Drosophila melanogaster: one gene and its partner. The protein of the gene in region 1 interacts with the protein of each later gene in a pairwise test. Each region holds a gene or a part of one and is shown on either strand. Other genes may lie near its edges.

Region 1 (10,361 bases):
GATTGGAGTTTATTATTTTTTGACTTTGTAAACAGCTCATTTATTGTTGATTTAAATAATTGGCAGTTCACTATAATTAATCAATAACAACATATTTACTGATTACTAAGAACTATATATTAAGTTCAGTATTAGCAATAACACTAGTCCAATCTATTATAAAAAAAAAGATCACAATTTAGTTACGAATTATGCAATTTTGGTAATGTCCCAACAGAGTACATTTTGATTTAAGTATTTGAATAGCCTATTTGCAAGTACATCTGAATTTATTAATATTAAATATCAAATATATACATGTGTTATTAAGACTAAGGTAATTGCACTAACAATAACAATAATGACTACCAATAATACGATGGCAGCGACTGTCACTTTAAAATCCATCTCATAAACTTGATGAAGTAATCCTGCAAATTTACAATTACAGCAAAACAAATTGATTTAATTGCATCAACAATTAGACAATAAAAAACTCGTTTAACTCTTTATAAATTGAAAAGAAAAGAATTACATTGACATGATTTGCACGGTATCAAAATGAGGGGATGTTTTGGATAAATATACAAATAATAAACGAGTATTGAGTTGTTTTTCTGTAGCAGCAATATTCAAATGTTGATTTCCACTAAATGAGTGATTGTTCAAGATGGCAAAACATTTAGAAAATGCTCAGTGTATTTATGACTTTTCGAAAGCTAACTTTGCAGGTATACTTAAATAATAAGACGGTTGACTGCGTATGTCAAAAAAAAAAATTTTTTGTTTTTGTTTTTCTTTTTGTAAATGTTCTATCAAAAATACTTTTATTTTTCAAACTTAAGCTATTTGATATTTTTTTTATATTTTATAAATTGGGCAACTCAAAAAGTGGTAACAAGAGAATATTTAAAATGTTTTTCTCTGCATATTTGTGTTGAACGATAAATTTCTAACTATACGCTTTTCGCTACATGGAGAGAAAAAACATGTTTTGCATAACCAATCAATATTAACAAAAGGTATAAGCATTGTTATACATTATTTTTGTGAGTTAACTATTGGTCAAATGAGTTCGAAAAAAAAAGGTAAGAAGTCCGTGGAATTATAAACCTTATAATATAATGATTATATGGAAATTTTCTTTCAAAAACACACTACATTCGCTATGGATATAAATCATCAGGCGCAGTTTACTTTGCGATGGTCCGGGTTGGAAAATTTGCGTAAATATGTTTATTAAAATGTTATTTTTTTTTATTTTTTTTGTTTTTTTTGTGAAAGATTTGAGGTCGGCGCGTTGGAAAAGCTAGTTATGGACAGCCGATTGAGGTATATTACCATTTAAAGACCCACCTGACGCTGGAAGAAAGTCTTGTTCTGGACTCAGGTGTAAGGAATATGCAGTGTGATCACCTTCAACATACTTCATATACGCAGAGACATAAAAAGAAATTATAGTGATGGTAACGTCGAACAGAAAAACACAAACAAGAAGGCAACGCAATGCAATGAAATACATATGGATTCGGTGAGCAGTTTCTGTTAAAAGTTATTTGCTATAGGAACATTTCAATTACATAGAACATCTGGATTTATAACTATATGCATATGGGGCCTGTCGGCAAAAGAGAACATCACTATTTGACCATCCCTCTACTTGTAATTTTATTTAAGCTTCGTTATTTACCTATGCATTACTGGTAAAGAAAACAAAAGATTTTTACGTTATGGTAGTTAACCGGTAGAGATGACAAATACACTTTGTTGTCCTGGATATATTTTAAATAAAGACAGTACAAATATTATAACAAGCTTACTGGTTTTCATCTATCTACTAATATTCGAGATTTTATTTTACGATGACTCTGCGTGGTCAACAGATAAGACTTACTATGGCAAAGAGCGCGGCACCGCCAAAAGAACGATTGTATAAATCTCCAACAGCCCTCAAAATTTAACAAAAGTAGTCGAGAATTTATGAATATTTTAACTGATTTTTAGAACAGTATTTTTGTGTACAAAATAATTAAAACGTGGGCAAATACTTAGTGTATGTATAGAATGCAGTGCAATATGCACTTGCTTTCACAAATTAGGTTTATTATAAATAAAATAGGATAATAACTTAAGATACTTGTAGTATTTAAAAAAAAAAATATCCTGACCTACATATTTGTTTTGTATAGTTTACGATTCATTTAAATGGGTCTTGTGAAAAGCTTCTGCACTATTGATGAATAAAGATCTCACCTTTTTGGCTGGAGGAGTTGGGACTTGAAGATGATATTTGTTTTGACAATAATCGCGCAACAACGCTATCCCTTCTGTGCGATTGTTAGCGTAGCGGGATTCCCAGGCATCCAAAAGGCGATTGTAATACCGCGGAGTGTCGTTGTATTTAAGGTACTTATGGGTTTGATCAGTTGGAAAGATGCGCTCCAGCGGTGCACATCGCGCTAGTTCATCCTCGGCTATGATAAGGCACCTCACATCATCGGGGGTCAGATTATTTAGGATCGCATCCACATACTGTGTTGTATTAAATGTTATAGTATGATTAGCAACCTATCCATTTGGAGTATCAAATTTGCGCCTCACCTCATTCCGGTCTTCCATAGACTTTCGGGTAAATGTGTTATGTTTGATCTTTTCCTCGCGCGACAAGTAGTTAATGTAAAGCCGCTTGTCATAGCACATTTGTGTGCCGGGAGGAAAGGAAAATTCTGCGGCCAGTTCTTTTTGCTTATCAAGCGATAGTTTTGGAGGTACCTTAAAATATGTATCATCATATATATAGTTATACGTTCTAAATTCATATGTAAAATGCCAGCACTTACGTTGTACAGCGCTGTATTAAGAACGCCCTGCACTAAAGGCGCTTTAACATGAGCATCTAGGGGCAGTTCCGAGTGTAAACTGGGCGAAATATTAACTTCCAACAGCCAAGGCACAAGATCAGAGTCCAGAATAACATCGAAGCCGAATAGCTCGAAGCAGCTGTACTTTGATTCAACATTTGCTCTAATCATGCTATTAATGCCATTCTCGCCAGCAAGAATTGTCCGAAGCACCAAACTCCTCAGAGCCTCCCACAGACAGTCGGTACGCACTCCACGATTCGCCAAATACGTCCACAGCGACTTGATAGTCCACTTATGTCCGTGGCAGGCATTGACGTCTTCGTTCTTCGAATAGTTCGAGGAAAACTTATTGATGCTGTAGTTGGTCAAATGCATACACCGATCATTCAAAGTGTCCGTTTTAGCGCTGTACTTTACTGAATATACATAGTATAGTTTCCTTTGGGTTAATATACGGCTCACTCGATTTTAGATAAATATTTACTTACCTGAAGCGAACCGTGCCAATCCGTTGTGGTACATGAACACTCGCAAGGGATTCACTGATGTAACCAAGACATACAGACGCAGATCAAATTTACTACCATTTATTAGAAGCGGTCGCTCTATATACCTATGTAAAACAAATCGGGAATAATTATTATGTTTCCGAAGCTTTTGATCCTTAGATGCTACATACTTTTGTACGATAAGGGGCCTTCTCTTGGGTATCTGGCCCCATCGGTTGATAACCCTGATGCCAGCACCCCGAGCACTAGCTGGTGGCTTTATAATCCACTTAGTATTTCGCTGGGCATATTTCGGCCAGTGCCGGCGCAGCGCTCCCAGATCATTGGGAATAATGTATGTGCGTGGCATGAACCCGAATTCCTTGTTGCTGTGCTTACCCATCTGCCTTTGCAGATTCTTCCAGCACGAATCCTTTCGGCCGATGCGAAATGAACCGGGCAAGTGATTAATTTTCTGATACGAACGAATGGCCTTAAAACACGGTGACTTTAAATGCTTTCCCCATACGCCCATCCAGTCGTTGGTTTCTACTTGCGAAAATACATATTAATTGATATCTGATTATTATGTAGAAACTCACTCTTTAGCATTCGCATTCCGCTGTTGGCCAGAATCAGACGAACTACCTTTGGCATTATGTTTGTAATGCGCCACTTCAAAACGCGATGAAGATCCGGCGGCACGCGTGGACCTCTTTTTGTGTTCGACGAAAAAGACAAATAAGGGGGCACGTAGGGAAACAAACTGGGAACCAGAAGGGAATCCGGATTTTTCAGATCATCCTCAGACGACTGCGAAGACAAGAAGCTGGGCGTGCTTTGGGGCGATGAAAATCGATCCACAGAGTGGGTAAGCTTGAAGGCATGGGCACGATAACCGTCCTCAGTGTCTGACAAAACACTCGCCGTGTCGCTTTCGTCGAAATTTGATACTATTATTTGGTTAAACAATGAAGTACAAATTAGTTAATTATCAATTAATTAAAAAAAATAGATCTAAGGTTAACAATTCTTACAATTGTCGAGATCATCATCTTCGTCGAAGTCGTCATTACGATCGAAGTCAATGGCACTACGGTGATCTTCCTGTTTGTGTTCCGGCTCCAGCAATAAGACCGTCTGTCTTTCATCACCTGCACCCAGTACCTTGGAGCTCTGCTGCTTTACACTTAGCCGCTGGGTGCTGAACTGCTGCTTGCGGCCGAGCCGTGGACTCTGAGTGCTGTACAGCAGGACTCGGTGAACCGTGGGCATTGGCTTTTTGGTAGACACGGTCCCACCTTTGGCCCTCTTTGGCGTCATGGGCAACCGTGGCATGGGCTGATCCGTCGACTTACGCATAATCTTTAATTCATTATTGTTGTTATTAATAAGCGTGTCTCCGGAGCCATCCAGGACCGTATTTTCGGTCATTCTGCAGTAGCGCCGATGTACTCCGACCTGCTCCAGCCCATTGTCAATTACAACAACGGGGTCATAGCTATCTTTAATGTCCCTGTAGTCATCTTCGCTTCCAGGGTCTCCTCCCCAGCCATTGTCTAGGTAATCGGCTTTTAAATCATTGCTTGGGAGCTTTTCCTTTAGCACGTGCTTCTCATACTTTTGACCCTGCCAGGTCCTGTCCTCGGAATTGTCCCTTCGTCCAATGATAACTGTGCCATCGACTTCTCGCGAATCCCTGCGACTGGCGCCGGCCTTTTGAAATTTACTCATTGGCACTTTGCGGCTATTGGCAGCGGCAAACGTTGGCTTGGACAGTTTCTCCGCTCCACGGTTGTAGAAGTACGAAAAATAGTGCTGATAGTGCTGGTTTGTCGTCTGATACTGGACCGGGCGTTCCGAGCTGAAAAACGAGAATGGAAGGCGGTTATTTACAACATGGGGAACAAAGGAAACTGTTTATTGTTTACACATCTATGTATGTTCAATGAGTGTCTGTGGATATATTGTTAATGTACTCGCAACTAGAGTGTTGTGTGGTATCTATCTGTAGTTTTCCAAATTGTAACTTTAAGACTCGAACACAACAACAACAAAATACGTGTGTGTGTGCGTGTACTGGAGGTATGTAGTTTCAACAAGCAGGACAATTAACAAAAAGGCATTTGCATAAATTACAGTATGTTATCCCAGGTCGGCTCTGGTGAGGGGGAATTGAGTGGCCGATATCGGTCCGGACTATTGTCCACATAATCGTTGGACACACGTCCCCCTCGGTCTTTCCGTTTCTTTAGCTCCGCATCAAAGTATACGATGGATGGCTGCAACAACATCTGCTGCTGTTGCTCCTTGTCTACGGCATATGACCTTGCCTGCTTGTACTGCCTATTGGAATGCTGATCCTCCGATCGCTGTACCGTCTGATAGACGTACTCGCAGCTCTTGTTGCCAGCTATCCGCTGGTTGACCAACGATTGCTGGCCAAATGCATCGGTAAACAGTGATGAGTCCGGCGCCGAATTGGCCGCCGATTGGTGGTAGCTTGATCTGGCCGATTGCTTGGTGGGAATTCTCTTTGTCGGCAGATTATGGTTCTGGTTGGGCACTGAATTTTGATTCTGGTTCTGGCGATTGCCCCACGCTGGAGCGATCAGGTTGCAGTTATCGTAGCTATAGTAGCAAAACGTATTGTCCGCATTGCAGTAACGTGACGCCGGGGCTCCATTGTTGTTCAGACTGTTGCTAGCTGGGATATGATAGCCGCTGTTGTTACGCATGTCAGATCCTGGTCACCCAGTCATATATCTGTTGAGGGGTACGTACTAAGCTCGATGTGATCTCTGACTCCGCTAACCCAAAAAAAGGCCTACAAACAGGTTTTAAATGCTGTGAATGATTTCTGATCGGATTTGGACGTAAGTTTACGGATGCGGATTAATCATATCTGGTGGATAGATAGAGAGAAGCCAGAATGCATAGTATGCCACTCTGGCGGTGAATATACAATATAGATTAACCCCGCCATCACCCTGGGCTACCAAGCGTAGCTGCCACTCCGTAAACCAGGTCATATGTACAAAAACTTACTTGCCTCGCGATTTGTGACCTTTACTTTGTTGCTGCAGCTGGAAGGATTAACGGGCACGGAGCAGGATTGCGGTGGCGGTGGTGGTGTCGTTACTCTACCCAAGCGCAGGACTCCCAAAATCTAGGTCACTGGCACTTGTCGTCAGCTAGCTCGGTGTGATTACATTGCCAGCACGAAAAATGCGCCAGGTGTAAATGTATGTAAAATGGAGGCAAAAACTGAAATGCAAATCGAACACACATCCTTTATAATCATAATGATTGCGGAGGCACAATATACCTACAATATAACTAATAGCAAATGCACAATTTTGTCTAATAAATATATTGGATTATTTGGTAGCTTCCAGTTAAGCGTGAAATTCTTAAACGTTCACTAAAACTTTTCACAGCCTATGACAACAAAAAACTAAACTACTGTTTTATTGAAGAACAGAATATCCATGTGCACAGTTTGGAGATGGCAGCGTGAGCACCTCAAACTGCCACCTCGCGATAGATACCGATTGCGCACGCACCAGCTGTTCGGCCGATAGGGGACTTCCCGAAGAAACCGTTTTAATCGCTCACTTTACCCGTTTAGCCTGGTTTTGAATCGGAAAAACACGTAAGGAAAATCGACATCATAGGTTTGTTTTTAATAATTTTAATACTGAAAGTTACAAATTGTATTCGTAATGGGTTCTGTTTGCAAGAACTCTTATTTATTAGCAAGCAAAATGGGTTTTAATGAATTGTCTTCGATTGTTGTCATCTCCGGATTTTGGTGACCTTCCTATGGAATTGAAGAAAGTGGAATTAAAGGGTGAAATGTTCTGTTCCGTATCTAAAAAGATAAATGAAAACCAATAAACAATGAGCACTTTAGGATCTATAGCATTAGTTAGCTTACCAATGCTTGGATCGACCCACTCCATGGCCATGTTGTGGAGTATGGCCAACGCCGTAATCGTTTGCTTTGCAGATCCATGGGAACCCTGGATTTCGGTGGCAAGGATACCGAAGCGACTCATCAGCAGATTGAGACACTTTCTAGCCGATGCGTAGGTGACCGCGTGGGCGTGGTTATACAGCTCCTCGGATTGGTTCCTCGGGAATCGAACCGGTGTGAACAGGGAGGAGGAGCAGCGCACCATTTCGTTGCCCAGCAAAATACGACCCCGGAACTCGTTCTGTTCGAATCGATCCTTTATTTTGGACAGACCGAACATCTCGGTGTCGGTGAGCATGGACTGCTCATCGATCAGTCGGATATCAAGGTCCCTTATCTTATGAGCCGCATCGCAAACAATCTGAATGTGAAGTTCCTCCTCCCGGCTGGTAAGGGCGGGCAAAAGCTCCTCTCCATCCAGATCAGGGGCACAGTTTTCCGGTTGAAACCTCACAGTTGTCTGTAGTAAAGCACCAATGACTTGCGGCATATTGGCAATTGCTTGAAACGCCGAACCAGATCGCTCCTTTTCCGATAGAGTAGCCGGCATTCGGATATACCTGGAAGCTTTCGATGATAGGACAGATGCCACGCGCCTAGTTATTTTTGCCAAAGTGCGTAAACTAACGCCATGGGCCATTGCAGTTAATTTGGGGTGCTTAAATAAGAAAAAAATTTAGTAACAAATCTTAGTTTTCATTTTTGGCGGGCAATTTTGAAAGCCAGTTCACACGGTTTTGATGTACATACAAATTCGCGAGTCTGGCATACAGAAATGTTTACTGTACCTCTGTGCCGCCCCACAAGCGAATAGCGGATAGAATCTGCAAATCTATTGGAACTTGCTCCCTCTTTAACGGCTCAAAATATTCAATTTCCAAGTCATCCCGTACAATTTCAATAATTCTGCGAAGGTTTTCCTTAGTGTATCGGTACTTTAGTCGAAATTTATGCTCATTTAGATCGGTCAATGGATTAAATCTTGGGTTCCTTTTCTTTATATGCGTTGCCCGCGCTCGAGAATTGTGTTTGATATTCAGAAAACATTGAAAGTCTTTGAAATAATCAAAGTCTTTTAGAGACCTTTGAAATCTTTGTATATCTTCCATTTTCACTTGTTTACTTGCATAGCAGGGTGGCTGTTTTGTATATATTAGAAAATACCTCATACGTACATGCGGTATTTAAGGCTCTTGCAACGATTGAAATTTTATGATGAAACTTTACACTTTAAAAATAATCTTTTTAAATGTTGTTAATTAAAAAAATGTAAGTAAGTAAATTAATACTTTTATTTTTTTTAAGCACGTTATGTACTTTTGGAGTTAAATAATTTTTTTTTATGTATTTCTATACTTTTAAAAAAACAGAACAGAAAGAAATCAAAGCTCGAAGTACCAAAAAATAAATACTAGGGAAATAGAACCTATTGCGAAGATTTGCAAAAGCGATTGTTTTCAGTTGTGAAGACTAATATCTACACATTCCAAAAGCTTAACGATCTTTGAAATCTGGCCATTTGGTCACACTGAGTCCAAAGCGTCGTTTTCAAAGTACTCTTTCAGTTTCCATTGTGAAGTTTTAAGTGATCGCGAGTGCCAAAAAGTAACAATGGCTGATGATCAGGGACGTGGACGCAGGCGTCCACTTAACGAAGATGATTCCTCTACTTCCCGAGGTAGTGGTGATGGGCCGGTATGTAAACTCTTATTCAAGCTAGGAAAAAAAATCATAGCGGTAAAGCAAATTCCTTATAATTCCGTTATGTCGCAAACACAAACACAGCCATGTACATAGATTGTAAATGCGCGCATTTCTTCGGAATTCGACACCAAAAGGAAGCACTAAAACTAACAAACAAAAATCTGCTATGAATTTGAGCTTGACTGCATAAAATCTTCTTGAATTTCTGTTGACCAAGCACTTTTTTCAAAGGGAATTCATTAAACATATTTCCAAAAACGCTTCTTTCAATTTGAATTTCCAAGGAAATGTAAAGCATTATCTGTTTCGTTTCATTTATTTTTTTTTAATAAAAACTGCTAAAATAACCATCACCTGACAGGAAGGTGGCTGTGGCAAGCCGAATCTTATTTACCCTTGCAGTCTATGTCTTTGGAATCTGCATGCCCGACGTTGATATGGACGGACATGACCAAATGGACCCGGCTAGTGATACTCATCAAAAATCATGGTCGGAAACGCTTCCTTCTATCTGTCACATACATTTGATTCCTAGAAACTCTACGAGTAACGGGTATTTCTCCGATATTCATCCCAATTCTATACAACTTTGAGATGGCTTTCAGCATTGATATACTCTGAAATTGCAGGCAAAGCATACTACAAAAACTATTTTTTACCATTTTTTTTCTGCTTCATCTTTGATTATGAGTAACAATATTTTCGTAGCTTGACCGTTAGTTTTATGATTTAAAATCTGTCGTACTTTAGGTAGTTGTTTAAATGGCTCACATTTAGGAATCACAACTATTTGTTTAAACCCCTTAATATTTTTTCTTTTAATAATAAATAATAAACAGGTAATACTTTTTGATTGTTCATCGCGATTGTTTTCAATGTACAAAGTTGAGTCTTTCTGGTGTTTATTGCTGTCTCGTGTTTATTGCTGAATCTCGCACGATCTCTCTCTTTCTTCTATGTTATTTTTTCCATCGGCGTCAATTATTCATAACTGCCGCTAGGTGGAGCTAGTGTGCAGTCATTCACTTCTATTAGGAGACAGCGTCCTCTATATCTAATATTATAATTTTTTTTAAATGAGTAACTTACATCATTTAATGCTTTCATGCAGCGGGTGAAAGTATTCAGAGGATCTTCATCAGGTGACCCGAGAGCGGATCCTCGTATAGAGGCTTCAAGAGAGAGAAGAGCTCTCGAGGAAGCTCCCAGGCGTGAAGGTGGCCCGACAGAGCGAAAGCCGTGGGGTGACCAATATGATTACCTGAATACCCGTCCGGCTGAGCTGGTATCCAAGAAGGGAACCGATGGCGTCCCGGTCATGCTGCAGACGAACTTTTTCCGATTAAA
Region 2 (13,481 bases), on another chromosome or scaffold:
ATCAGCCCGAAATGAAAATTGTAGGGCGGCAGGCGTTCTTTTATACAGTTTTCGCCAAATATTTTGCGGCCTTCTTGGATTGAAAAAAAAGTGTTTTCAAATGTCAGCGGCGCGGTGTGTTGAGGTGAGTTTGGCTTCGAACCTACCACGGCTATGGCAACACTCGAGGAAAATATTAGTACTATGTCGTGTGACGCCATTATTTTGCCATAATTACGATAATAATATTCATATCGATATCGATAGACCTGCCGTGGTGAATAAGTATGTTCCCCACCCCCCAACACACTCGGTTGGCTTTCCCAACGACCTGGCAACCCTAACACGCCCGCCATTTTGCACTCTCCATGGGCCGCCATTTTGTTTAGCGGCCACGCGAGAATTCAGCATGCAAATTGGCGGGAATTCCACTCTACACACCGCCACTTGGAGACCCCTATAAAGTCGCCTACGCAGCCGCCATTTCAATCAGTTCACAATTTGCAGCGAAAGCGCCAACAGCCCCATCACGTCAAGTTCTTTAATTTAAAAAAAAGAAGAAAAACACTTTGCTAATCCTCGCGACATAAAAATGGCATCCGTACGCACCATGAACGACTATCACAAGCGCATCGAGGCGGCCGACGACAAGCTAATCGTGCTGGATTTCTATGCGACATGGTGTGGTCCCTGCAAGGAAATGGAGAGCACCGTCAAATCGCTGGCCAGAAAATACTCCAGCAAGGCGGTGGTGCTCAAGATCGATGTGGACAAATTCGAGGAGCTGACGGAGCGCTACAAGGTGCGCAGCATGCCAACGTTTGTCTTTTTGCGCCAAAATCGACGCTTGGCCTCCTTTGCCGGCGCCGACGAGCACAAGCTGACCAACATGATGGCCAAGCTGGTGAAGGCGTAAGCAGCAATCCTGCCCAGCAATTAGCAATCAGCAGCGCATCTTTTTTTTTTTACTTATTTAACTCATCTTTTAAACATGTTCGCCTCATTTGTGTTCGTTTATGTATTCGATGTTATGTGTATGCTCATGTGATGTTTAGCTTGTAAGCGCGAGATGTGGGTAGCAGGAGATGCAGTGCAGCCAACAGCAGTGACCAGATGATATATGCTATGCTACTACTACTACTTATATGCTATGATTTGTGGCGCGGAGGCGTGTCTGCGACACATAATCCCGCCCATTTAGCTTTAAGATTCAGGCACTAAGAAGCAATTCGATCAATAAATTATTGTAACCACTCTGGACATTTAAATGTTAACATGGAATCAGCTTTGTTTTTTTTTTGCCCACAGCATTTGGATTGTTAACCAAGTAGGCGCTGCGTGGTCATGTCATTTCGGGTTCCAGCAACATTTGGCATTTGCTAACCAAACTTGAGATCACACACACGAAAAACAAAAAATCCCAAACATTCCGCAGCACAAATTCAATCAAATCCAAAACGCACATTTCGGTCGCATCCAAATTGTACGGATTTCGTTAGTAAATAAAAATCAAATTTCGTGTAAATCCAATCCATAATCCGTGGTAGAGTAGAAACCACACCATCATGTCGTATCAGATCAAATCGACGCCCTACTTTCGTCGCATGTTCAACGAGAGCAAGAAGAATGGCCAACTGCAGCGTCTGCGTGATGAGTACGAGCGCATCCAGGAGTTCAACGATCGCACCATCGAAATGAAGATGCGACAGGTGCGATTAAAGCGGCTATTTCGCGAGATCGAGGTAATTAAGGTGGCTGGCGGGGCGGCCGGTGGCGCCAGCGGTGGCGGCACATCGACGGCATCATCGCCATCGAATGTTGACCAATCGTTTGGTTTAGCCGGCGGACGCGTTACCCGCCGGAGACGGCAACAGGCACACGGTGCTATCACGCTGGCTAGCAGCACGCCCCAGCAGCGGATGCACAAACAGCGCATAGAGACGCTGGCACGCGCACGCCAACTGGGCCAGGAGATCTCGCGTCGGAATGGCCTAATGGCCGAGGCCGGCACCGGCGGTTTCCTGCGCAGCGAACTCCGGATGACGGCCAAGCTGCAGGCGGCGAACGATGCACGCCGGGCGGCCGTGGAGCGTCGCGACTTGGCCGCCAAGCGCATCTCCTATGGCAACGATCAGTCGCGACAGAATATCCAACGCATGCTCATCCAACGCCAGCGCAGACATGAACAGCAGCAAGCGTTGGCGGCGACAGTAGCATCACCGGCGGCACCGTCATCCAATTCCTACCAGGTGTCCATAGCGCAGCAGCCGGTCACAAGGTATGTAAATCTTCTAGAGAATTGTGGGGTTATGTTCACCTTTGTTTGTTTTTTTGTTTTGGCCAGCAGGCCCAGGCATGAATACACGGACAATTGCCAACAACAGCAGGAACTGCTGGCGGTGACCAGTGAGCGATCGACGGAGCAGGGCGATCATTTGCAGATGGAATGCGAGGGGCAGTCGTACTCGGAGCAAAGCTTCCATTCGAACGACTGTCTGGCGCAATCGATGGACGAGGATCTGGATGGTGAGGAGGAGCTGGAATACACACGCCATCGGCGTGATGGCGACGCGGATGAGGAGCCGGAGCGGCAGTCCTGCCTGGTGACGCTGAACAAGGAAAGATCCACATTGGCAGCCACATCACCGCTGGATATGCGTCGAGTCAAAAGCTCCATTGATTCGTATCGAAAGACGCACCTATCTCCGCTGGCCAGCGGCAGCAATTGGGTTCGGGTTGTTGGTGGCGCCCAATCGTCCACCATTGGATCGCATCAGCCAAGTGGAACGGTGCCGCCGCCGCTAAACGATGAACTGCAGCTGGATTCGCAGTCCAATTCGAGTAGGTGGCATGAGGTCTCAATGATGCTGTCGTGGTTCGGCGCCGCTTCCGACATCCCAACCGACTATGCCGATGCTCCGCCACCCGAGGTGCCCAGTCACTACGATTGCGATTCCATTAGCAATGCGGACGATATGCCAACGCCAACTGTGTGCCGTCGACAGCGCATGTTCGCCGAGCAGCCGAGTGATGCTGCCACACAGGCGCAGGAGGAGCCCTTCTAGCCAGCCGACGAGCGGCAGACGCACTGCAGCACACATCTATTTTTTTTACTGCAATTCGGTATGGAAATCCAAACCATCCAACCAACCAACCAGGCAAGTCTGCAGCGCCTGCAAAGTTCACTTATTTGGCATGCTACGCTAGTTTTGGCTTAGAATTCCCGGCCCATCCTGTCCAGAAGTTGTGCACGTGCACTTGGCTGGCAACCTTTTCGCATCTTTATTTGGTAATAAAATTATGGGTATGGTATTACATTTCACAAATAATAATAAAAAAAAAAAAAGAAAAAAAAAAACAAACAGCAATTTCATGTTCAAGTTACACTTTTCAAATGATGCAGTTCATCCCTGAGATAAATGATTGGCAAACATGCCAGCTTGATGATTTATGTATGTTCCGTCGTCTGGTTTTGTCCTGTTTTCATCATTCCTGCTCCTGCTTCTGCTTCTGCTCCTGGTTGCCCACTAGAAGTGCGTCATTCATTTTTATTTTGAAATGGATTCAGCGCCTTGGGCACATGGTAATCCCTATGGAACGAATGCGAAATCATCATCATCATCATCATCATCATCATAATCGTGCAGCGGCATAATTAGCGGCTCGACCATCCCAAAAGGCTGCAGTTCGGGCGCATAGCAACAGGACTCCAACTTGATCCGCGACTCGATTAGATCGTTGATGGTGGGCACAAAAGTTTCATCATACGATAGCCGCATAGAGAATATACCCTGAGCGGTATCCAGTTCGCCGACATGGGCATACAATACCCTATTGAATGTCATGCGCTGGAATGCGGTGATACCATTTTTTGGCCACCCATTGGCCAATGGGCGTACGTGCGACATTTTGCCGCGAAATACCAATGGCGGTGTGCGCGCAAAGCTTAGTGGGAGGAATCGTAGATGGTTCGGTGCCAATGTGACAGACAGGGCATGATCCACATACTCTATGTTCACACATTGGGCGTCCAACGGTGCGGTGACGAGCACCATGGCACGTCGCCAGCCACACTCGCTGTAGGCGGCGCATATGTAGCCCTCTTTATAGAAATAGCTAGGCAACTCGGCACGGTAGCTGCTGATCGTCGTATGGCGATAGAACCAGCTATGGGCATTAAATAACAATATTATCAATCAATCAGTCAATCAATCGATTTAGTTAGTAGCTTACTTTAGATCAATGGTCATCTCGGCTACAGGATTCTTGGCGTACTGCGGTGGCACAATGTGGAACCAGAACTCACACGGAGAGAACACCTGCGCAAGAAAAAAAAACAAAAAAAAAAAGATTGAACTCCTATTTCAAAGCTGTCTCTTTGCTTGGCACGGGACCAAAGCGCACTCACACAGCTCATGATGATCGGGAAGATAGAGTCCTCCTTGCAGATATCCTGGATACGCTGCGGCGGCAGCTTCCAGTGCATGCCAACGGCATCCATGGGCAGTCCATACATCAGTGCACACAAACTAACATCACCGATATCCGGGAAATCGGAAAACGACGGTATCAGTTCCTTGACAATGTAACCATCCGTCGTTTTTGATTCGAGTCCATCGCTGTCGCTATCGTTGTCCGATGTCGACGCTAGCAGTGTTTCCACTGACGCAGCAGCTTCTGCCACTTGGCTATTGCTATTCATGAAGTCAGCATTGCCGGTGTGCAGTTCATGCATCTTCATTGGGCCAGGATTGTTCATTGCCTGGCGCTCCGACACGGTGGCTAACAACTGCTCCAATGGCTTTCCATTCACCTGGACATCGGCTACATCCGGCGGCACAACGATGTTGCAAAGCATCTTATCGAAAATTCGCACATGGTGCTGGTCGTCAGTCTCAGCCGTCGGCTTGGAATCGGTTGTTTTTAACTCGAGAGCGATCTTTTAAGGGGCGAAAAACTTATTAGTAATTTCTACAATACATATATGTATATATTTCGACGCACATGTGCTTTTTCGAAAACTTTTTGCAAGTCACTCGAATCGGAAATCACAAGCCGTATTTTGGCATTGGGCTGGCGCAAATCGAGTGCTAATTCAATTGTTCCATTGATCTGCTGTTCAGAATTAGCCGGCTTCTTGGAATCGGTAGTTTTTTCCTCCAAAGCGATCTTTTAGAGGAAATTACTTATTAGTATTAACTAAGCATACATGTGTAATTTGAATTTACGTACATCTTCGACAACTTTTAGCATGTCACTCAAATCGGCTAACACTTTGTTATTCCGCATTTTGGCACTGGGGCAGCGCAAATCGAGCGGCACATCATTGTTATCCTCGGCTTCTTCCGAAATTTTTCTCAATTTCGAGAGCAAAGTTTGAAGTCTTCCTTCTTTGACGTCCATCTTGCTTTGCATCCTGATTTTAACTGAATTTCAATTGTGGAACTTTTCCCATGTGGCATCACCGCCGTAAGCTAGACGCTAGAGATGGCAAATGCGCCATCCGCGAAATCCACCACACCAATCGGTCATTGGCGGCTATCGAACGTGTTATCGAGCCGTTTGTTTACGCACGTGTTGTGTTTGATTTAATTTAGTTTTAATTTGTATTTAAACGCACAGAGAGCAGCTAGCAAATGGACAGCGACGGTGACGACTACGTGATGAGCGGCTCCGACCAGGAGTACGATGACGAGGAGCGCGAAATACTCGAAGATCTGCGCAAGCAGCGCAAAAAGCCACATGATCCCGTCCAGGAAGTGCTCGGTTTCAGTGATGATGACGACGACGACGACGACGACGACGAGGAGGAGCAGCAGGATGTGGCGGAACTGATGCGCGACAGTGACATCGAGGGCGCCGAAGACGATGACCGCGATCTGCCCAACACCATGGACTGGGGCAGCAAACGGAGCACGTACTACAACACCGACTTTGTGGACCAGGACTACAGCAGCTACAATGCCCAGGAGGAGGAGCAGGCACGCGCCGAGGAGGAGGAGGCCAAAAAGATCCAGCTGCGTCTGGCCAAGCGCATGAGCGAGGCCGATTTCCAGCTGGACAATGTAGAAGCAGCGCCCGCAGGCAGCAGTGATGACAACGAGCTGAGCCATATAACCAAAGTGACCAGCGATCTGGCCGGCCTATCAGAACGCGAGCGACGACAGCTGATGCACAGTGAGTCGCCGGAGTTCATCATTCTCACCCAGGATTTTCAACAGCATCTCGACGAGGTGAAGAACCTATTGAAACCGGTGCTCAACTACGTTCGCAAACACGATGTGCCCATGGTGCCGGCGCTGCAATATGCCGGACTCTGCCACACCGTGCTCACCACCTACTGCTCCAATGTGGCTTTCTATCTGCTGCTCAAGGCACGTCGCATCGACGTCAAGGCCCATCCGGTGATTAGGCGGCTGGTGCAACTCAAGGATCTGATCGAGGAGCTTAAGCCGCGCTACGAGGAATACATTCGACCGCAGCTGGAGGCGCTGCTGGAGAGGATTGAAGATGGCGATGCATTCACCGTGCTGGATGTGGCACAGCGCAAGGCTAAGCTGCAGATACTCAACAAGTACAACGATGGCCAGCAGGCGTCAGTGAGCTCCGATGATGATGATAATGATGACGATGACGATGCTGAGAGTAAGGAGAAGGATCTGCAAGAGGAGGCTGGTGAGGAGGAGGAAGAGGAGGATGCGCGACGCGGCATCACCTATCAGATGGCCAAGAACAAGGGCCTCACGCCGCACCGCAAAAAGGAGCTGCGCAATCCGCGCGTTAAGCATCGCGGCAAATACCGAAAGGCGCTCATCCGGCGCAAGGGAGCCGTGCGCACGGTGCGCAAGGAGCTGCAGCGCTACGGCGGCGAATTGTCCGGCATCAAGGCCGGCGTCACGAAGAGCGTCAAGTTCCGCACCTAGTTTTTATCCAATAAATCCGCCAAGATCATTACATTTTAATCAACTCGATGTTTGTACACTTGAAACACCCATTTCATCCAAAGACTCACCGGGGATTAGTCAACTAGCTGTCATATGCGAAACAAACAAACATTTTTCTTCACTTGGTTCATCAAGAAACCAATTTATATGAGTCGAAACAAAAATCATTGTCTTACAACAGTTTTTCTCTTTGTACAGTGTTCTCCAACCTTGTCTGTTTAGGTTGCCTTAAATCTAAAAAAATATATGCTCCAAATCTTCGTCTTCGTCTTACAAACTAAACCATGGCCGCTGGCACCGGGCTCAGCCGCCGGCATTTGTCGCCTAATCCTTGAGAAATAGCTTGCGAAAGTCATCGTTTGACTTGGGCACAGCAGCTGGCATCTCCTCTTCTTTTTTCTCATCTCCCTTTTGCTCCACTCCACTTTGCTCCTCTCCTATTTGATCATCTCCTTTTTGCTCCTCTCCTTTTGGCTCCTCTCCTTTTTGCTCCTCTCCTTTTTGCTCCTCTCCTTTTTGCTCATCTCGTTCTTGAACATCTCCTTTTTGCTCCTCTCCATTAGCCTCGCGCTTGATGGCCACGTCGACGGATGCCGAAGTGGATGATATGTCCCCCGGCTCGGGCAGAAGCAAGCGCAGCTTCTTGGCAGCCACCTCTTGGCGCACCAGAGTCGTGGGTATAAGCGAGGTGGGCACACGTCGCTTGGGCGCCACACTTGGCTTGACAGCTGATGTGCCCCTCGGCGGTGGGTTTGAAATGGCCACAGAGATCTGAAAGAGTTGTGAAATGCATTTGCTTTGGTTGGTTCGGTTAAACATGAAGGCACACATCATTCGCTTACATTCATGCCCTTGAATAGACAACCATCTCGTCCAGCCACTGCTCGTTGCGCCTCGCCCGGCTTCTCGAACTCAACGTATGCAATGCCCTTGAACTGCTTGTTTCTGTAGAGGATCAAATAGTTTAAAATCAATAATTGTAATTGTAATCTCGCACTCACAGCTTGTGCACCAGGCGCACATCTTTGATGGTGCCGAAAGGCGAGAAGAGTTCGTGCAGCTCCTCCTTGCTGCAAGCGGGATGCAGATTTCTTACAAAGATCTTATTGATTTCCATGTTGGCTAGAAGAGAGACAACTAATGTAAGTCCTTGAAACGCATGTGTCCAAACGGCATGGCGACTCACGCGAATACTTAAAGTTCGATTCCTTGGCCTCTGCATTCGCTGGCCCCTTGACTTTCGATGGCGGTGACGTAGCTCCACCAGATGGCTCGGTTCTGGACTTCTTAATGCCATGCTTCTGCTGCTGCTGCTGTTGCTGTTGTTGCTCATGCGCCTGGCGACGTCGCTGCTCGCGATTCAGTGGCTCACGATTCGTTTGTTGCTGCTGCTGGCGCGGCTTAAGCTTCTGCTGGCGAGGATAAGCCGACTGTGAGTTGGGCTTAATGCGGGAACGCGGCTTCACATACTCGACAGGCAGATCGAGGGCCTGGCAGGCGGCAATGGACTCGTAGGTGCCATAGCAACGTTCATAGCGGCGAAAAAACTCCTGCACCATAAGGCCATTCTCGAGGACGGGCTGCGAGAGAGCTTTGCGAAGGACATCGCGTGTGCCGTGGCCACCATTGTATTCGCTTTCCATCTGGGCAAAGTTCAGCCAGAGCAGGCCGCGTATCGAGCTGCCCGGATAGCCTAAAGATGAGTAGTTAAAACATTGCTTATGCAATCATATTTCAAAGCGCTCACCCATTATTTGGCGCCAAATCTCACGGCCATTGTCCGGACTCCCCAGTTGCGTGTACTCAACTTGGGCCCACAACTGCAGCACCTCGTACCTGGTGTCCGCCTGGTCGCCGTAGAGCACGGTTAGCTCCTCCCAAGCATGATTGAAGGCGGCACGCAGACTGGCGACCTGCTGCTCATCGCTGGCATTGGTGTTGCGAATACGATAGGCCAGATAGTCCAGATGCAGCTCCACGGTCATATCCATGTCGGTCACAATGCGCTGCAATATGAGACGTATCTCTTCATCCACTTCCGCCAACTCAAAGTCCGAGCGCTCCATTAGGTCGAGGAAACGATGATTCAATTGTACACTGGGATGACTGCGCACACCACGATTGGCCAAATCGAGTTCCGTGTTGCGCAGAAAACCTTTGCCCAAGCGTTTGGCCCGTTTGGCTACCATTTCGGCGGTTACCTCATTCTCATCCTCATTCTCCGGCACAGTGACGCCTTCGAACTGAATGAACTCAATGTAGGATAACCAGAGCACATCGACAATGGGAAACTTGGCCACCGAGCGTTCGAATATGAAACGGATCACAGCGTTTTTGAGGTCATCGTCAAGGGATAATGTCTCCACATCGTAGACATGAGCCTTGTGTTGCTCAGACCAATCCCAACCACGCGTTGTCTCGTCCAGATGTTGCTTAAACTTGTCCACAACGGACTTGATCATCTGCCGCTGCTCCACGTTGCACGTCCAGGTGACGCAGTGCTTTTGCAGCATTTCCACAAAGGCGGCAGCCTCATTTTCGTCCGTAATTGTCGATATCAGCGAACGCAGCTTGTCGCCAAAGTCTGGACGCTCCACGTCGTAGTCCGCCAGCAGTTTGGCCCACAGCACATGGTTCTGTACGTTGCCCTGATCCACCAGGTAGTTGACAACGTATTCGGACAGCGGTATGCCTGCAATATGTAACTCGTCAATTGGTTTAACTACGAATGGATTCTATCTATCGCATACTGTAGTAGTAGCCCAACGCTTTGGCACACTGCTCCTCGAATGCCTTGCGCTCCTCGTCCGTTTGGGTGACGACCAGGCGGGCCTTTAGATACTTCAGCCACACGTGAGCCGGCACAGTGGCCAAATTTTGCAGCTCCAGCACCGATGACTCGATCTTTTCCAGATCATTCAGTTTGCTGCATTAACGAGCATCAACATTAGCTAATGCCGATATTGAAAAAATGGAAAATGGGAGTGGGAGAAGCAGGCAAACTCACAATGCGATTCCAATGAGCGAGACCATTTGGGCAAACTTTTTGCTGGGCAACGCATTCAGCTCCTGATACGAGCGCTCTAGCTGATTTCCGCCGCCAGCGTTGTCGCTATCACTGTCACTGTCACTGGACACCTCACTGTTCGATTCCAATTCCGAGCCTTCGATCACGCCCACATCATCGCTACTGCTGCTGGAATCATTGCGCGCTCTGCCACGGCCAGCGGCATTGCCTCCCTCAGTCTCCTCCACTGACGGCTCGTCGTCCGATGAGATCAACTCAATGGTGGTCATATCCCCGCCGGCGGACGACGGTGGCCAGGTTGGGCGCGATCGTTGGCGCAGCTCCTCCGACTTGTGCTCCTCCTCCTGCTGCGGCGACTCACTGTGCCCCTGCTGCGGCGAGCCCTTGCCCTGATCGGGTATCACGATCAGATCATACTCGTCATACGCATCGTCGTCCAAATCCTCTGCCGGCATCTCGTCCAGCTCCTTCTCCAGCTGCCTTTCCAGCTGCAATATATTGGGCATACGCATAAGGGCGGCGCCTATTGGAGCTATAATCTGACACTCACCTGCTTGTCGGCGTCCATGCTTCAACCGTTTATTTTGGTGGAAAACTTTTCGCTTTCCGTGGAACTGCAATTTTTCCCCCCCAAAAAAAATACAGGAAATAAAAAAACAAAAAAAAAACCGCAAACGCAGGGCTGGCCAATCTAATATCGCGTTGTTGCGCTTATCGTGGAAAATTATTTGGTTTCAGGTTTGGTTTCCCTATTGGGCACTTTTTCTTGGAAAAACTTTCCAAGCACTTACTTTCTGAGAATTCGGTTAACGAAAACTTATCATTTTCTGTCAAGAAACACCGGTAAAGTGTGAATAATATGCGAATTTTTTTTTCGTTATAACAGTGTGACCAGTGCGTAATATCGATAGCTGTGCGCACTCGATAGTTGCGGCAGTCCAGACAATGGCTGTGTTACCAGCAGTGCAGTGAAGACTCGTGATGAGCAATTTGAAGACTAATTTCGGTAATATGTGGTCAATATTAACTGGTTTCTTTGGGCGGTCAGAAATGTATAGCAAAGTCAAATGATAAACTAAATCCTACCAAGAAATATAATTTATTTTAAACATATATATATTTTATAGAAATAAATAAAAATGGAATTTATTTTACTTAAGTGCTATATATATATGTATCATAAAATGTAAACAATTTCTGTTTCTTTTACACAAACTATTTAATAATAATAAACTATTTAATACGCAGCCACATCATAAATGGATTAAGTGTAGACAGTACTCAGGCAAATAATAAAAATATTATACCATTATATGAATGGATTAAGTGTGGACAGTAATTAAGCAAATAATAAATATATTACTATATACTATAATACTATAATAGGAATTGATTAGGTGTAAACAGTAATAAGTCATATAATACATATATTGTATATATTATAGGATATAGTAATAATAATATAATAATAATTAGGCAAATAATAAATACAAATATTATACTATTATAAGAATGGTTTAAGTGTAATAATATTATATATTATATAATAATTAAGCAAATAATAAATATATAATACTATTATAAGAATGGATTAAGTTTAAACAGTAATTAGGCACATAATACATATATTGTATATATTATAGGAATGTATTAAGTGTGGACAGTAATTTAGCAAATAATAAATATATTTTACTATTATAGCAATGGATTAAATGTAGATATTAATTAGGCAGATAATAAATATATACTACTATTATAGGAATTATTTGATAGTTTTCTATATTGTATGCATTACAAATTAAGTCAGATGTTCGGTGGAAACGTTTTAATTATAAATTTGCATATCAACGTATATTTGCTTATATTAGTTAGTTTGCTATGTCCACTATGTTTTATATAATAAAGTTAATAATTATATGTAAATATATAAAAAAAGGAAATAATTATAGCATATATATTTTGCCCGCGCAACCAGTCTTCAAATGCCCACAGTATGGTCACACTACGCTTTTCCCGCGAAAAAACTTTGCATTCGGCGTGCAATTTGCGACATTAGTTTTGTTTGCATTTGCGTTTGCCTCCGAACGGATCGAAGTTGATCCATAAGCGAAATCGAAAGAAGTTTTGTGAACTCCAGTGTACAGCTTAAGTCACAGAATGGCCCACGAGGGGGAGCAGTTCATCAAGGACATACAACGCGAGTATGTGGACTTTCTGGACGACGAGGAGGATCAGGGCATCTATGCGGGCCACGTCAAGGATATGATCGCGGAGAAGAGCAAGCGCCTGATCGTGAATGTCAACGATCTAAAACGCAAGAATCCGCAACGTGCATTGGGGCTACTGAGCAACGCGGCGGATGAGCAGCTGGCCTTTGGCAGGGCGCTCAAGGAGTATGCGTCCACGGTTGATCCGGGCTATGCCAAAATGCATGAGGATCTGTTTGTCGGCTTCGAGGGCTGCTTTGGCAATCGGCATGTGACGCCGCGCTCCCTCACCTCCATCTATCTGGGCAACATGGTGTGCGTGGAGGGCATTGTTACCAAGGTATCGCTGATTCGTCCCAAGGTGGTGCGCAGCGTTCACTATTGCCCCAATACGCGTAAGGTAATGGAGCGCAAATACACCGATCTCACATCGTTCGAGGCTGTGCCATCTGGCGCTGCCTATCCCACAAAGGACGAGGATGGCAATCTGCTGGAGACCGAATACGGTTTGTCCGTTTACAAGGATCACCAGACGCTGACCATTCAAGAGATGCCCGAGAAGGCGCCGGCTGGCCAATTGCCGCGTTCGGTGGATATTGTGTGCGACGACGATCTCGTGGATCGCTGCAAGCCCGGCGATCGTGTACAGATTGTGGGCAGCTATCGCTGTTTGCCGGGCAAACGCGGTGGCTACACCTCGGGCACGTTCCGCACCGTGCTGCTGGCCAACAATATATCGCTGCTCAGCAAGGAGAGCAATTTGGACATATCGCGCGAAGACATCATGCTGTGCAAGAAGCTAGCGAAGAATAACGACATCTTCGAGCTGCTCAGCAAGAGTTTGGCGCCCTCGATTCATGGACATGCCTATGTGAAGCAGGCCATTCTTTGCCTGCTGCTCGGCGGCGTTGAGAAGATCCTGCCGAATGGCACACGCCTGCGTGGCGATATTAATGTCTTGCTTATCGGCGATCCTTCGGTGGCCAAGTCGCAGCTACTGCGCTACGTCTTGAATACGGCACCAAGGGCCATACCGACAACGGGTCGCGGATCCAGCGGCGTCGGTCTGACGGCGGCGGTTACCACGGATCAGGAGACCGGTGAGCGGCGATTGGAGGCGGGCGCCATGGTCCTGGCCGATCGCGGTGTCGTCTGCATTGATGAGTTTGACAAGATGAGCGACATCGATCGCACAGCCATTCACGAGGTGATGGAACAGGGTCGTGTTACCATTTCCAAAGCGGGCATCCATGCCTCGCTCAATGCTCGCTGCTCCGTTTTGGCAGCCGCTAATCCGGTGTACGGAAGGGTAAGAGTCCATCC

What was found.
Region 2: the proteins of CG12253 (region 1) and Sas10 interact in a two-hybrid assay, tested with the Drosophila melanogaster proteins (one large-scale study listed by BioGRID).

What each region holds. Positions count from the first base shown.
Region 1 is NT_033779.5:10,985,893-10,996,253, reverse strand, and holds CG12253 (uncharacterized protein), read right to left. Parts: upstream 8,449-10,361; 5' UTR 8,420-8,448; coding exon 8,099-8,419; intron 7,969-8,098; coding exon 7,272-7,968; intron 7,206-7,271; coding exon 7,087-7,205; 3' UTR 7,013-7,086; downstream 1-7,012. Other genes in the region: TTLL4A (tubulin tyrosine ligase-like 4A), read right to left, coding at 2,233-2,511, 2,581-2,751, 2,820-3,259, 3,332-3,456, 3,523-3,880, 3,934-4,284, 4,369-5,195, 5,471-6,069; piwi (P-element induced wimpy testis), read left to right, coding at 8,922-9,005, 10,126-10,361.
Region 2 is NC_004354.4:5,311,889-5,325,369, forward strand, and holds Sas10 (something about silencing 10), read left to right. Parts: upstream 1-5,520; 5' UTR 5,521-5,615; coding exon 5,616-6,902; 3' UTR 6,903-7,183; downstream 7,184-13,481. Other genes in the region: dhd (deadhead), read left to right, coding at 572-895; CG4198 (uncharacterized protein), read left to right, coding at 1,545-2,257, 2,324-3,044; CG15930 (uncharacterized protein), read right to left, coding at 3,570-4,146, 4,213-4,298, 4,388-4,918, 4,984-5,148, 5,212-5,394; Rnp4F (RNA-binding protein 4F), read right to left, coding at 7,248-7,694, 7,766-7,868, 7,925-8,045, 8,110-8,616, 8,671-9,615, 9,674-9,849, 9,931-10,439, 10,502-10,519; Mcm3 (minichromosome maintenance 3), read left to right, coding at 12,109-13,467. UniProt on the Drosophila melanogaster protein: Essential for gene silencing: has a role in the structure of silenced chromatin. May be involved in gene regulation during development. Binds RNA.